2 linked regions of the Caenorhabditis elegans genome follow. The protein of the gene in region 1 interacts with the protein of each later gene in a pairwise test. Each region holds a gene or a part of one and is shown on either strand. Other genes may lie near its edges. The genes, in order: shn-1 and tns-1.

Region 1 (8,756 bases):
TAGTAAAGAAATTTATCAATGAATCACCGATTTGTTCATGAATCTTGTTTGAAAAATTAAATTTCTTTCAATGCAAATGCAAAAATTGGGGAGCAATTCTACGAAAAGGCATAGAATCAGTGAGGAATAAAATATATATTAAAATATAAAAACTATATATTTTTTGTATTACCCTAGGACACCGAAAAATGGAAGAAAATTAATGAAAAATGATGATGAGCAGGATAAAGACACGATGGTCAATTAGAATTGGGTTTCACTATCAAAAACAAATGAAACAATATTATATACAAATATATAAAGCCAGCTACGCGGGAGAAAATCGAGAAAGTAGAAATGAGGGGGGAAAATCATAAATCACTGGAGGAGGCCACGGAGAGCTGATTCAATTATCTGGCGATGAGCAATTCGGGTGACACCGAGCTGTGTAAATCGAGACCGATCGCACTGGCGAAGGCATCGGCCATTGATTCGTTGACTTCGAAATGCTGGTGTATATTCAGAGAGGTGTAGTGATGAGAGCCAACCGATGACGTCATCCACCGACCAGACATCTACCTTCTTGTGTTCGAATGATATTTCACTACCTGCAAAGAGAGGAAATTTGGTAATTTGTTGAAACTTAAAGGAATGAGCCCCAAAATCTAACAGATAATGATTTGAATTAACAATTTTTTCTTTTACAAAATATCCAAAAAAGAAGTTTCCTTCAAACATATTTCAAACTAGAAATGTTAACAGATAAACTGAAGCAAACAATTCAAAAATGAAGAGTTACACTGAAACAGAACAAACGAAATTAAGTAAATTAAAAAACCAAATCAAATTGTTTTTTTAATATTTAGAAAACTAAATATTTTGACAAAAATACTATTATAGTATAAATATTTTTACAAGTTTACAAGTATTTTTACAAGAATACAAGCGTAAACAAATAAACTAGATAATTCTCAAAACTGCTCTAAACATTTATAATGATTTGAATTGAGAATTTGCTAAAAAAAATGTATCCCGAGAACACAACCAGAGCATTCCAAAAACCCCATGTTAACCAAAACTAGACCCCAGACAGATTTCATTCTCCCCTTTCCTCTTAGATTCATAAATTAATCTCCAAAATTTGTGAGAACATAAATTAAGTGAGTGTGCAAAAAGAGTAAAACTAATGGTGATGTCAAATGAAAAACAAGTTGGAAGAAGAATCTCTTACAGCGAATCTCTCCATCGCTATCGCCTGTTCCAGAATCCGGATCATCATCATAATCGACAGGTGGAATGACATGAGATGGTACCACGAAGCATCCAGGTTTCGTTAGATCAACTGTTGATGATGATGACGCAGTTGACGACGAGGCAACAGACATCTGAATTGCAGGTTTTAGGTTAGAAATTGGGCACAAACCACACATGAACAAATTAAACATTCTTTCACACCATCTTTTTTTTGGGGTTAAGAAAAATGTTATATTGAGAAATCAGTGCAGGGAAAAATGGGTCTTACATTGTCCTTCTGTCCGTAATTATCCTCGAGATGCTGAGAGATCAGTGTCACTCTTTGAACATTTGGAGAGTGATCAAGTGAGAAATGGGGTCGATGATCTTTTTCTTCCGATTCAGATGGTTCCAGTGACGTTCGAGAAGATGTGTACCTGAAAAGAGAGGATTTATTTAAGTTGTATGTAAGCTTCAAGATTGAAGATGTTGAGCTACGGAAGTTCGAGAAAGCAGTTAGCAGTTACCGTGTTTTCTCTATTAATATTGTACTTCGATTGTTCAACTTTACCAGCTTATATCTCAGTTTTCGGTTGTTCTACACAAAAATTGTCAACTGACTAAATATTTTCTGATACTTTTTCTATAGTTTCATAGTTGAACATTTAATGATATCTTCTAAATGAACTGAGATATAACTGTTCAAAGTGAAATAGTGGGAATATGGTTAAAGGTACTATGAAAGTAGGCAAGAGACACGAATAGACGCCAAAAGTCTCAGAATGTTTTGAACTACATTCTGACAGACTTTTTTAAATGTTCCAAAAATTAGCAGTTAGAAATAGCCAATTAGCAAAAATCGGACACAACCAATAATTATGCAACCAACGAGCATTTTTCAAATGAAATAAACTCACTTACCCACTGTCCTTCTTATTAACTATTCCAATGTTCTGAATTCCTTTTCCACGTTCTACAACATTTTCCCGAACAGTTTCTCGAAGTGATAATCCTTCGAATCGACTTTCTCTCTCCTCATCCTCATCGACATCGTGAGCTACTTTACTCCGCCTCTTTGCCAACGCATTCTTCAAATCCATTTGAAAATCTGTCGTGGAGTTGTTGTTATTATTGTTATTATTACTGACAGAAGCCGCCGATGTTTCTCGTGGTTCTGCTTTTTTTAATTGAACTGATTTCAAGGCATCTGCTGATATTCCTTTTGAATTGCTCATCAAAACCGGAGCACTCGCAGCCACATGCATCAAACCTCCCGGAGGAGGTGGTGGAGGTGGTGGCGGAGCTCCAGATGAGATTGGAGGCAATGGAGGAGGTGGAGGAGGTACTGAAGATGTTGATGGAGGTGTGAACTCAACATGTACCATCGTTGGCTCGCAGTGTGGCGGAGGAGGTGGTGGAGGCGGTGGTGGAATCGATGACTGCTGCTGCTGAATTGGTTGAGGTGTTGAAGCTGATCTTGGAAGAGATGGATGTTGTTGTTGATATTGGTGGTTCTGATGATTCTGATGTTGCATCGGTGGAGGAGGTGGTGGAGTTTTCGGCCTTGACGTTGGTCGGAACGGCCTAGAATATTCACTCCGCTGCATTGAAGAATCTCTCTGCAAATCCGGAGAGATATACGACGCCGGTGGTGGAGCTGGCATCTCATCTTCATCGTCAAATGAATCAAATGAGTCCATTCGAGATAGTTGAGGTGTGCTTCGACTGCTACAGTTGTACTCGAATGTGCTAGTTGTGGGAGCCTGAAAAATTCTACTTTCTCAGTGTGCTCGCTGTTGGGAATTTTGCTCTGAATTGCTCCAAATGACATGATATTTAACAAACAAAAAAGAAAACATTTAAGAAAATCGGGTTAATTTTTTAAATTTTTTTCTGTTTCAAAATGTTTTTTAACTTTGGCATTTTGGCATCTTTAATCTAGTTTCTCCGTAATTTAGAGCAAATAAATATTCCGATTCCCACATTTTTCTAAAACTCACCGCTTGCTCGAAAGTCGACCTATTCAATCCGGCAGATGAAGCCACCACATTCCGTTGACCTTTCCTCCTCTTCATGTCAGAAACCGAATTATACTTCTTTGACGAATAACCCCCATTCAACGACTCCTGATCATATTGCATTTGATATGGTGAACCTTGCACCGACGGTACCCGCTGTCGAACCATCAAATTCTCCAATTCCGCTGCGGATATCCTCCTCCCGCTACCCGGCCTTTGCCTGACTGACGCGTGACGTGATTCCGAGTAGGCGTTCCTGATTTCATTTGGGGCATAGTAATCAACTCCATGCGCATCATGCGTGTCTGAAAATAAAATGACTATGCTACACGAGACCGAGAACAAATCTATAGAACAGATAACACATAATTAGAAAGCTGATCTCTATGTAAATTCTAGATTAACGTGAACAGTGAATTAGAAAGTTAGAAAAATAAAGTAAAAATAAAACAAAAAAATTCGAACCAAATCTCATCCGATAAACACTGGACGCTTTTGTAGACGAGTAGATTGCTGACGGCGTGGGTGTAAAAACCAAAGAGTGACGAGATGATGCTGGAAGTGAATGTGAGTGAATGGTGACGGTGCACGGATTAGAAAACAATTTGTACTTGAACAAAGACTACACAAAACTAAAAGCGTGCGAATATGAACGACGATACGTTGAAATTATCATTGAGATTTGGGATGATAAGTTCAAGCTTACACTTCAAGCCGAGTTTGTGCAATATCAAGATCATCAAGATACTTAACTCCCAATATGAACTTCTTTCAACCCAAATCTCAACAACACTCTATTCAACTTTCTTTACCTGTTGGCGGTCGATGCACAATAGTTCCTCCCCTACTCATATCAGCTACATCGACTGTTATCACTTTCAGTGTAATCGTGTCACCGGCTTGCTGAATGAATTCGACGACTTCATCGTGTGAACACCTTCGCACATCGATTCCATCAATTTCCAGCAAGTAATCTCCTGGCCTTAATCCCGCGCGAACCGCCATTCCGGACATGTCGACACCTTCAAAAAATTGAAGAGCCGGCACTTGAGCAGTTGGCTCGAAGTTCAATGGCATGGCGACATCTGAAACAAGAACTATGAGAAAATTATTGAGCAGTTACATAAGAAAAAGGAATTTACGTTTAGCTCCTCTCAAAATGAAACCGAATCCCTTGACACCACGTGGAATCACCAGAATCCGAGCGATATTTGTCTCGTGTCCAGCTGCAATCATTCCACCACCACGCATCGAATCCATTCCAGACCGTCGCATCGTACCGTACTCTGATGGGGTGATGGTAGTACGGGAGGATCGAGACGGGCTTGGCGATGGAGCTGCAGACATTGGACCTTTTCGTACACTTTGGGGAGTACGGTAGACATCCTGGCTGCATATTGAGGATTGGGACATCGAACGTCGGCGAGTGATGGTTGAGCTGAGGCGTCGGCGAGTTGAGTATTGAGGAGTGCCGCGATATGGTACTGGAATTTAGATTTTTCAGAGAAGTTAAAAAAATGACTCTCTTACCTGAAGATTTAGGATTATGTGCTTGAACGACATCAGCCACACCAGGATTTCCGACAATATGCGAAACATGTAACGCAGTTTGTCCTTGCTTGTTCACAGCTAGATGATCAGCTCCCCGAAACAGCAGTACTCTTGCACATTCTGGCCTATTGTTCACTGCACAGACATGAAGAGGACTATTCCCATTTACATTTTCAGCATCGATCTGACCACCGAAATAGAGTAAGTGTTCCACATGTTTCGTTAACCCATTCTTGCATGCTTGATGAATCTCGTGGTTTCCGTGCATATCGGTCACACCGATGTCGGCGGCTTCTCGTAGAAGAATCTCAGCGACTTGATCATTCGAATCTGCTGTCAACATATTATAGTAGAGCGGTGTAAGTCCAATTGGATCACGATAGTTTGGGCTTGCTCCAAGTTCGATCAAGGTTTTTACATTCTCGAAGGAAGATAGAAATGCGGCTTTGTGCATTGCAGTTTGGCCTTCTGAATTGCGAAAATCCACGTGTGCTCCGCCACCAATAAGGGATACAATTACAGCTCGATTGTTCGGGATTCCAGCAGCCAGCGTTAATGGGGTTTCTCCCTGAAATTTTGTGAAAATTAAAATAATTTCAAGATGCCCGGCAATCCTAGAAACATCCACAAAAACTCACCTGAGCATCATGAAAATTTGCATCAAGTCCCTGCGAACACATCTTTTCCACTTTCTCGTTATTCTTCTGCTGAACGTAGTCCATAAACTTTTTGAGTTGGCCCTGCAAAACGAGAACGATAAGTATCTGAATTGAGAGGTGCGCGCGAACACAAATATTATTAGTTTGTGAAGAAAGGGGGAAAGATATGCATCTGATGGAATATGACGCATAAAACACCTTGTAATTATACAAGGTTTTTGTCAGTTTTCGATCAACATGTTGGATCGGAAGGAATTGAATAATAAGATGGGATTAGAACTAGAACATTTAGAACCTGGGAGGTTTTGGCATTGAAAGTTGAAAGAGAAGTAATCCCTACCTTCGTGTGCATTGCCTTCAGCTGCTTCTCGTCAAGATTGAGCATCTTATAGACTCGTTTCTTATACTTCAACTCGAGATACGGAACACAATCAGTGAACGGATAGTCACGAATGGTCCGATCCTCGAGAAGAAACTTTCCGGCTCGTCCATCGCATGGAGGAAGGAAGAGCCCGTAGTTGAAAGCTTGCGGAAGAGCTTGCGGAAGGGTGGCCAATAACTTGCGTTTCACATCCCAGATGAAATCGTTTTGGGTCACCGCAAGGAACTTCTGAAATTGAGAAATTGTAGAAGGATTATGGAACACCTAGATAAAACATTTTGAAATTCTATGGTAAGTTCTGCAAATAGTCACAATTTTATTTTGCAATTGCTCACCCGAACGTTAAGCTCCGGAACGAAGATCTGCAAATTAACGGTGTCCTCCTCTTGATTCATCGTGAATGCTTCCGCTCGGACGCCTTTGCTTCCGATGATGACACTAGCGCATCAATATGTCTCCGGACTTGTACAACACTGTTAGAATGAAGTTACCACTATTAGCTAATCGAACAGAAAGAAATGCAGAGGAAATAGAGAAATTAGAAAAAAGAAGAGAAGAAAGGCGATAACTTTGATGTATTTACTATTGATGTCAATTGGTGGGACATGGATCACAAAGGGGGACAGGCAACATTTTGCGCATGTAGGAGGTGCTGATCATGGGTAATAAAATTGAACATAAGGTCGGGTTGGTCGGGACAAAAAAAACGATGGAAACTCTGGGTAGAGATAGGTAGGTAAATGGTTTTTTGACAGATAGGTTTTTTTGTAAAATTTCTAGTTCTTGGTTGCCTTGGTTTAAAAGTTCGAGCTAGGGCGATGACGGGCGATTGTGGGCGAAAAGCCAGCAACAGGCTGCCTTCACACATGCCTATGTGCCTGCCTATTTGCCTATATTCCTATACGCCTACGTGTCTGTTTGAAAAACGAAGAAATCGTAGAAGTCACAAAAAGTGTTGCCAAATACAATAGCGTCGAGTTTTAAAATCTGCACTTTATTGAAATTAAAAAGTCTAATAATCAAACCTATAAAGTTTTAGAACATTTTCAAACTCGAATCTATCAATGTTTCCGCATCTAAAATTCAAGATCCACAAGTACTATGCAAACTTGAAAAGATGATGGAATTCTCAAAAGACTTATAGGTTTTGCCATTCGAAAAGAACACTCGTAATGGAATTGAGGAAGCGAACAGAGGAGAGAGAGCGCGACTCTTTTCTCCGTACTGTCGGAATAATGTGAGAGATAGCATTGAAGATGTGGAGACGCAAACTGTCTATAAGAGAGGCGGAAACTGGCTTCACTTCTTGGAAGGATGAGGAGAAGAAGCTTGTGAGGAGAAGAGGAAAACTGACAGAGAGAGAGAGAGAGAGAGAGAGAGAGAGAGAGAGAGAGAGACAAAAAGTAAGAAAACGAACAGTGAATGCACGAAGTAGTAGTATTGAATGAAGACGTAGCTGTGACAAAGAGGTAATTAAGTATGTACTCAAATAGTTTGTATGTTAAAGGAAAAAAATGTAACATTGTCCTCAAAGTGTCTGAAAGTTCAATGTGAATGTTGAAGCGGTGTTTGAAACACATAGGAGAAGGGTACATATTAAAAATATGAAATTGCACCACATTACTTAACTTTAAAAAATTATATCTTGGTGTATTTTAATGATATCAATAAATTATCGAATACAAACGATAGAAAAAAAATTGCAAATATTTCGTTAGTTAACAATTTTTGATTAAAACAAACGGCAACTGAGATATAAGATGCTAAAGTTGAACAAAAAAGTGGAATGAGAAAATATGGTACTCAACTTTGACAGCTTGTAACTCGGTCGTCTCTTAAAATTAAAAAAAAACTTTTTAGTTACGTAAACATGAATTTAACAATTTGTTCGTTAACAAGTCGCGAATTAAATGGAGAAACTAGAACAATTTTCTCTGAATTTCATCTCCAAATGGTTTTAAAGCACCTCGAAAAATGCGATAAAACTACACAAATCTCGTTTCCAATTTCAAGTGATAAACGAGATGATAAGACATATGGAGATTAAGGTAGTCAAAGTAGATGATCCGTACAGCTTATTGCAGGTAGGCTTAAAGGTAGTGAACAAGAATTATCTAGGGAGAGAAAGAGAGACGTCTGGATGAAAGGAAGGTGACTATTGTAAGCTGACTCTTACAATTGAGTCAGAGACATGTTTCCGCCGGAGTTTACGACCTTGGACACAAAGTTCCAGAATCAAGGTAGTAGGGAGGAAACTGGGGGAGGTAGGGATGGGTATTGTAAAAAAATATATTAGTCATTTTGTGGTGTCAAATCAAATATTTACTTTTTGATTCCCCCCTATTCAGAAAAAATCTGACACCTGATAAGAAGGATGGCAATGAACCTTGGGGAGGAAATGAAACGGAACACAGTTGAAGGCCGTCTTTTTGAGGAATCTTGGCATTTTGAGAGGAAGCGAATTTTTGAGGAAAATGGGAGATTCATGAGGTGGGGAACAGGTGCGAGTTTGAGTTTCATGATGGAGAGGAGAGAGGAAAAGAAGAAATTTGAAATTTTTGGAGAATTTTATGAGATAGGGCAAAAAAAAATTAAAACAATTAAAATTTATGTGCATTCTCTAATAGAACTGCACCCCAAATATCAGTGAAAATACGGCGAGTATAGATAATTTAAAAAATTAATTTATTGAGCAGAAACTAAATTTCAAAGTTGTGCTTTTTCAGAAATTATTTGAAATCGAAAAATTGAATGGTTGAGGCTACAACTTTCGAAACACTAAAACCGCCAACTGTAGTGATTTTCAAATGTTCACTAATAGTATTGCACCGCGCTACTTCACTTTGAACAAATATATCTCGGTACATTCAAAACATATCAATAAACAATCAACTACAAAACAATAGAAAAAGAAATAACAACTATTTCTTCAGT
Region 2 (5,569 bases), on another chromosome or scaffold:
TAAATTGTCTCAAATTCAAATTTTATTCAGTGCAAAAGAACTAAATAATTCTATTGATTTTTATACGCTCAATAAGGTTTTGGAAATTAGTTTCTAAGAAATTTGAAAACTTGAGATATTTGCCATACTCTTGACCTATGAAAACTTTAGAAGTGGCTAATCATTTGTGGTTGTCACTCTTATTATGTCCCAGTAATATTGGTACAAATATAGCTCAAAAGATTGGAAAAAATCCAAAAATAACAATAAAATTGCAATTGTTTAATTTACTGTCATAAAAATGGCAATTACCTTTCATAATTACCTTTCATTTTGCAAGTTCACAAAACAACATTTTTTCTACAATTTTTATATTTAAATTAACTGTTATAAAAAACTATATATGTTTGTGTTTGAACACTATAGGTGCTTGTAGCAATGTCTAAGTGTACTCAAAAAATGAATTTTTTTGAAAATTTGGTATTTTTTCAAAAGTTGGACACACATTTAGAACTATCTAAAATGCCAATAATTGATTTTTTAAACATTAATCCTGAATTAATATTATATTTAAACTCGTGAGTAGGAATGAGAACGTAAATCAAGACGCTTTCGGTTAAAGAAGTTGGGAAGAAAGACAGAAATGGGCAATGAAAAATCTATCAGAAAATTGAATTAGTGGGTCCCGTCAAACAGAAAAAAGGATTCTGTCGACGGGCGACCCCAACAAAAAACCAAAAAAATTTCGGTGAACGGAAATGGACAACTTATGTTCGGAACGGCTTCATCCTCTTTTGGGAATACTTTTAGCAAAAAAAAAATGGAAGAAAGTGAGCAAAACGAAAAAAAAAGGAAACCAAATCCTAATTTATGAGCTCATATTCTCTTGTTTCACATTGATTTATTTATTTTTTAGTTGTATTCTACTTTTTTTCCTTTTATACAGCAATTCGGCTTTTAAGAAATTTTCTTTTTATAGTATTTTGATAATATAGAAATTTTAAATTGTTTTTGTAAAAAGAAGGTAATACTGAATTATTGGATACGAAAAGTTGAAAAAATTCGGTTGGAGGAAGATAAAAAGTGATAAAGTCGACATGAAGGTTACCTAAATCCTGTTTTTGATATCAAGCAAGTGAGAGGGAGAATTGCGTAAAGAAAGGTGACAAGGTGACAAAGAAAAGGTGACAAGATGATTTATTCTGTGCTAGTTGTGGTTTGTAAGGGAAAGAAACAAAATGTATGTAATTTGACCTACAAGACGAAGTTGGTCCTCGCTAATTGTGTACACCTCGTAGCCAGCTTCATTGTTGTATTTGTTGGATTTCTGAAAAATTAAGTTTTGTTCTATTTAGTAGGTTTGCGGGAGCAGTAGAATTCCTAGACACTCAAAAAGTGAGGAAAACGATTTCTCCTATGATAATTTTGGAAATCATCCAAATTGAATTTCACGGTGGTTCAGCTTTTTTTCAAACTTGGAGGAATGCTCGTATTCACTCAAAAAATCCATATTTTTGGAACATTCGGCATTTTTCTAAAACATTGACTGAAAATTTCAAAATGCCAAAAGATTTTTGAACGATTTTTTAGAATATATAATCAAGTTGGAAGTGTATTTAGTCTATATTTCTGCTCATGGTACTACAACATTGATAATAAAATTAACTTGAAGATTTTCAGTGTCTCTAGAAATCTAAAATTTGTTCTCAAAAACTGTTTTTTAATCGTAGAAAAAATTTAATTTGTTCGATGAAAACCAAAATAAATTCATTTATTGTCAAAAATAAATTTGAAATCTATGTGCCTCATTTTTTCCTGAAGTTACGTGTCTACTCTCATATAATAAATTTATCCAAAGTGCCACAATGGAGTAGCTTAATGCAAGATTTTTCCAACTAAAAAATTATTAAAAACAGATAAACTTTCCTGATCACAAACTTATTTAACTAGTTAAAAAATTACTCAAAAACCAAATTAACATTCATATTTCCTTTTACCCTTTTAAATCTTTTCTTTCATACCAATTTCTGTTCATTTTTTAAATAAATTCCAATTCCGTTTTCCAATCAAATGTACATTTATACATCAATTCATATATGAATCGCAGAAAACGACCAAAAAAAACCAAAAACTATCACTTTTGGTTGTTTGGCGACACATAGCCACACAAAAAAGCGTGTCGGCTACCTTTTCTTGTCCGTTTTGATATTATATATTCAATATAAAATGATCTACCTTTCTTAGCTGTGTACCGCCCGTTTTAACGAGGAAACATTCATTCGAACACCTGATTATATCGGAAAATGGGTGTGGCATTTTGCTGGATTGAAACAAAGTTGCTTAGTTTTACAGATTTGGAATTACTCTGATCGTGGTAGAACCCACACTGTTAAAATAGATGTTTCAATATTTGAAGAAAGTATTATACCAAAATCGGGACAGCTTCAGATCAGTGTTTTCATAGATTGTGTGCAAAATTTAATTGAACCTGCAAATTCATGTTTTTTTTCTAAATTTGATTATCAGAAAAGCCATGATTTACAGGGTTCATACAGTTTTCTAATTCAAATAATTTTGGAAATTTTATCATTAGAGCTATGTTTCATGTTCAATGAACTTTAAAGTTTGCCAATCAAAAATGTTTCAGAAGCAATCAGAATTGATAGAAATCAATCAAAAAAGAAGCATTTCCTATTTCCTTCTAATTCGTCTAATTTCCGGTATTACAATCGACGCCGCACTAACTAATTAACAATTTTCTTCTTTTTCTAATAGAAAACCTGCGCCTCTTGTTTCTTAAAGTACTTCAAATATTTATAAAAAATACATGGAGCACGTTATAATGAAAATTTGTGTTCCGGACTCGGAACGGTCCAAATATTTCTAAAAGTACAGTAACCCATTCGGATCTTCGGGTTTTTCTTTGAAACACTTATTCGAAAAAGGATTGTTTGCTGGAATACTATGAAGTTGGGATTTACAAGACTAAAGAAAATCCATGAAAATCGCATGATGGGTTACTGTACTTCTTTAAGGCGCACGCAATTTTGCCCTACGTCTCATGAGTTTCTGAAAATAGTCGATTTCTGAAAAAAAAAAAGTTGTTCTTTTTCCATTCTCTATCTCACTTCTCCACTATTTTGCTTGGAATGTGCTCAGAACCTCACGATTGTTTCAAGCCTCTTCCGTTGGGAGGTAGGGTGTCCACTATTTGGAAGCCATCCAAAACGAAATAGTACTGGAGACGAAGAGACGCAGAGAAAAGGTAAACGGGCCGCCCGTACTGTTTTTACGCGCTCCGAAGGGACACATAGATAAATAAAAAAGAAAATGGAAAAGAAAAGATGATGAGCCCTCCGAAGAGAGCTTATGTCCTTCTTATTTTACTACTGTTGAAGTAAATACAAGGGAATGACAAGAGAGAGAAAAGAACTAAAAGGAAATGTTTTCAAAAGTGATTAACATTGGTTTTTATTAGGTTTTATAAACTGGAAATAGAATACAGTTATACAATTGAGATTATTTCTGAATTTTCAATTAAAGTTTTTATTTTAAACAAAACTTTAAAAAATAGCTATTTAATTCAAAAGCTGTGGTGACCAAAAAAACGAACGGATAATCCAGATTTTTATTGTGAAACGAGGTCAATACGACTGCTTATTGATACCATATGTTTGAATATTTCTATTTAGAGAAACTTTTTTTTTAACTTTTGAGATATTTTTTTATTAATTTTCAAAAGTTGTTTTATTTTTGTATTCTATAAATATTTCATTTTAAGCTTTCGGGATTCAAACTTTTCAATTTAAAAACGTACCCTTGAAGCACAGCACAGAGCTGCAGCAGCCATTGCCCTTGGTCTGAAATGTCTTTTAGAAGTAATATTTTTGAAAATTCAAAAAAAAAACATCTGCAAAAATTAACTATCCACTGATTTTTCTCTATCCACACTAAACTGTTTCGCGCAAACACATTGATAGGCGAAGAGAATTAGAGAGAAAAAGAGAAAAAATCGGACAAAATCTTTTGGGTCGAACAAATGGGCGGAGCCTACTCGGGTGGGAGCGAAGAAAGAGGGAGTGGTCAAACAAGACGGCAGAAATTAATGGGGTGGAAGAATGAATATAAGATGTTTTTAAAAGTGCATTTAAATCAAGAAAGTGTTGAAATTTATTCGAAGTCAAAAAAAATTAAATTGAAATTCATGAAAAGTTGAAAAGTAAATAATTGTTTAAAAAATGAAATGAATTCTGATGAATCATTGGTAGTAGAGCTCGAAATTGAATCCCTCGTGAATCTCGTAATCCATCAATGTGATATGATCCTTGTAAATGGTGTACCACTTTTTCAACACGATCTTTTCCCATCTGAAATTTAATTGATTTTTTTTTATTAAACAATAAAAAATGTATATTTCATCACCAAGAATGGCGGTCGAAATTTATGATCAAATTACAAAAAAATCAATTATTTAATAAAACACAGGGCTGGGAGGCAAGTTTTTTTTTGCAAAGTCGGAAATTTTTCGTTTTGCAATTGTTGTAAATTTTTAAATTTTTATTATAAATTCTGCAAAATTAAATGCACTATTTTAATGTCCTAGAACTATTTTGACATGCAAGTAAAATCTATGAAAATGTTATTAATGTTTTTTCTCATGTAAAATATCTTGGAAAACTTTGGGCAAATCGGCAAATTGCCGTTTTTCAAATTTTCAATTTGTTTCTAATATATAAAACATACGAAAATAACATATGCGAATAGCCGCATGAGATGGCAAAACACAGAAAAATTGTATTTTAAAACGCGATTTCCTAGCTCGAGATCATTTTAATAACGACTTTTTGTGCCATTTTTGATTTTTTTTAGTTTTTAAGTTCTTTTTTTCCTTTCAAACGTTTTAACTTCTAACTTCTAAAGTCTATAAAAAAGCTAAATTCTTTTTTTTTCAATATAATTGATTTTCAAGTTTAAGAATTCAGAAAAAAAGATTGTGGGATCATCAGTCAATTTCAAAAAGATTATCAAATTCAAAAAGGTAATTTTCAAATCTCACCGTGTTCCAGTTTGTGCAGCGATCAACTTCTTCAAATCTCCAATTGTATCTGATGGATTGCACTTGATTCGTACTTTTTTTCCGAGTCGATCGTTTACTGTGATTTCAATCATTTTTCCTGAAAGGTCAAACAATTATGTATAATTTAAAATATTCACAAATTTCTTAAGAAAATACATGTATTTTGCAAGAAAGCAATGAAAATTCGGTATAGAAAAACATTAATGCAATTGCGCAATAAATAAATATAACTATTTCGAATGTACGTAAAAACACACAACTCGACGCGCAAATGCAGACTTGCAATGTAATCAGTAAACTTAAAGGCGCATGCACCAATTATTTTTCAAGAACTCAATTCTCGCGGCGAGACTCAACCCTTTGAAACTTAAAATTAAAACTTACTTTTTTTATTTGAGCGTATTTAAAAACGAACTTTTTTAAACATAAACTGCTTAAATTTTGCTATTTTTTCCAAAAATTAATCTCGGAATTATAAAAAAGCGCAAGTATGGTAAAATCTGCAGTTTTTGA

Evidence for each region.
Region 2: the proteins of shn-1 (region 1) and tns-1 interact in a two-hybrid assay, tested with the Caenorhabditis elegans proteins (one large-scale study listed by BioGRID).

What each region holds. Positions count from the first base shown.
Region 1 is NC_003280.10:11,384,568-11,393,323, forward strand, and holds the start of shn-1 (Protein shank), read right to left. Parts: upstream 6,298-8,756; 5' UTR 6,218-6,297; coding exon 6,158-6,217; intron 6,051-6,157; coding exon 5,781-6,050; intron 5,522-5,780; coding exon 5,420-5,521; intron 5,350-5,419; coding exon 4,761-5,349; intron 4,715-4,760; coding exon 4,373-4,714; intron 4,316-4,372; coding exon 4,043-4,315; intron 3,786-4,042; coding exon 3,696-3,785; intron 3,536-3,695; coding exon 3,213-3,535; intron 3,171-3,212; exon of another isoform or gene 3,150-3,170; intron 2,976-3,149; coding exon 2,134-2,975; intron 1,650-2,133; coding exon 1,502-1,649; intron 1,365-1,501; coding exon 1,211-1,364; intron 588-1,210; coding exon 358-587; 3' UTR 1-357. UniProt on the Caenorhabditis elegans protein: Scaffold protein that most likely acts in the postsynaptic density (PSD) of excitatory synapses which orchestrates synapse formation and maintenance at neuromuscular junctions.
Region 2 is NC_003279.8:5,603,689-5,609,257, forward strand, and holds the start of tns-1 (Tensin homolog), read right to left. Parts: upstream 3,842-5,569; 5' UTR 3,830-3,841; coding exon 3,797-3,829; intron 1,307-3,796; coding exon 1,238-1,306; intron 1-1,237. Other genes in the region: ubl-5 (Ubiquitin-like protein 5), read right to left, coding at 4,238-4,346, 5,036-5,148. UniProt on the Caenorhabditis elegans protein: Probable phosphatase which regulates axon regeneration after injury by linking the svh-2 and integrin signaling pathways.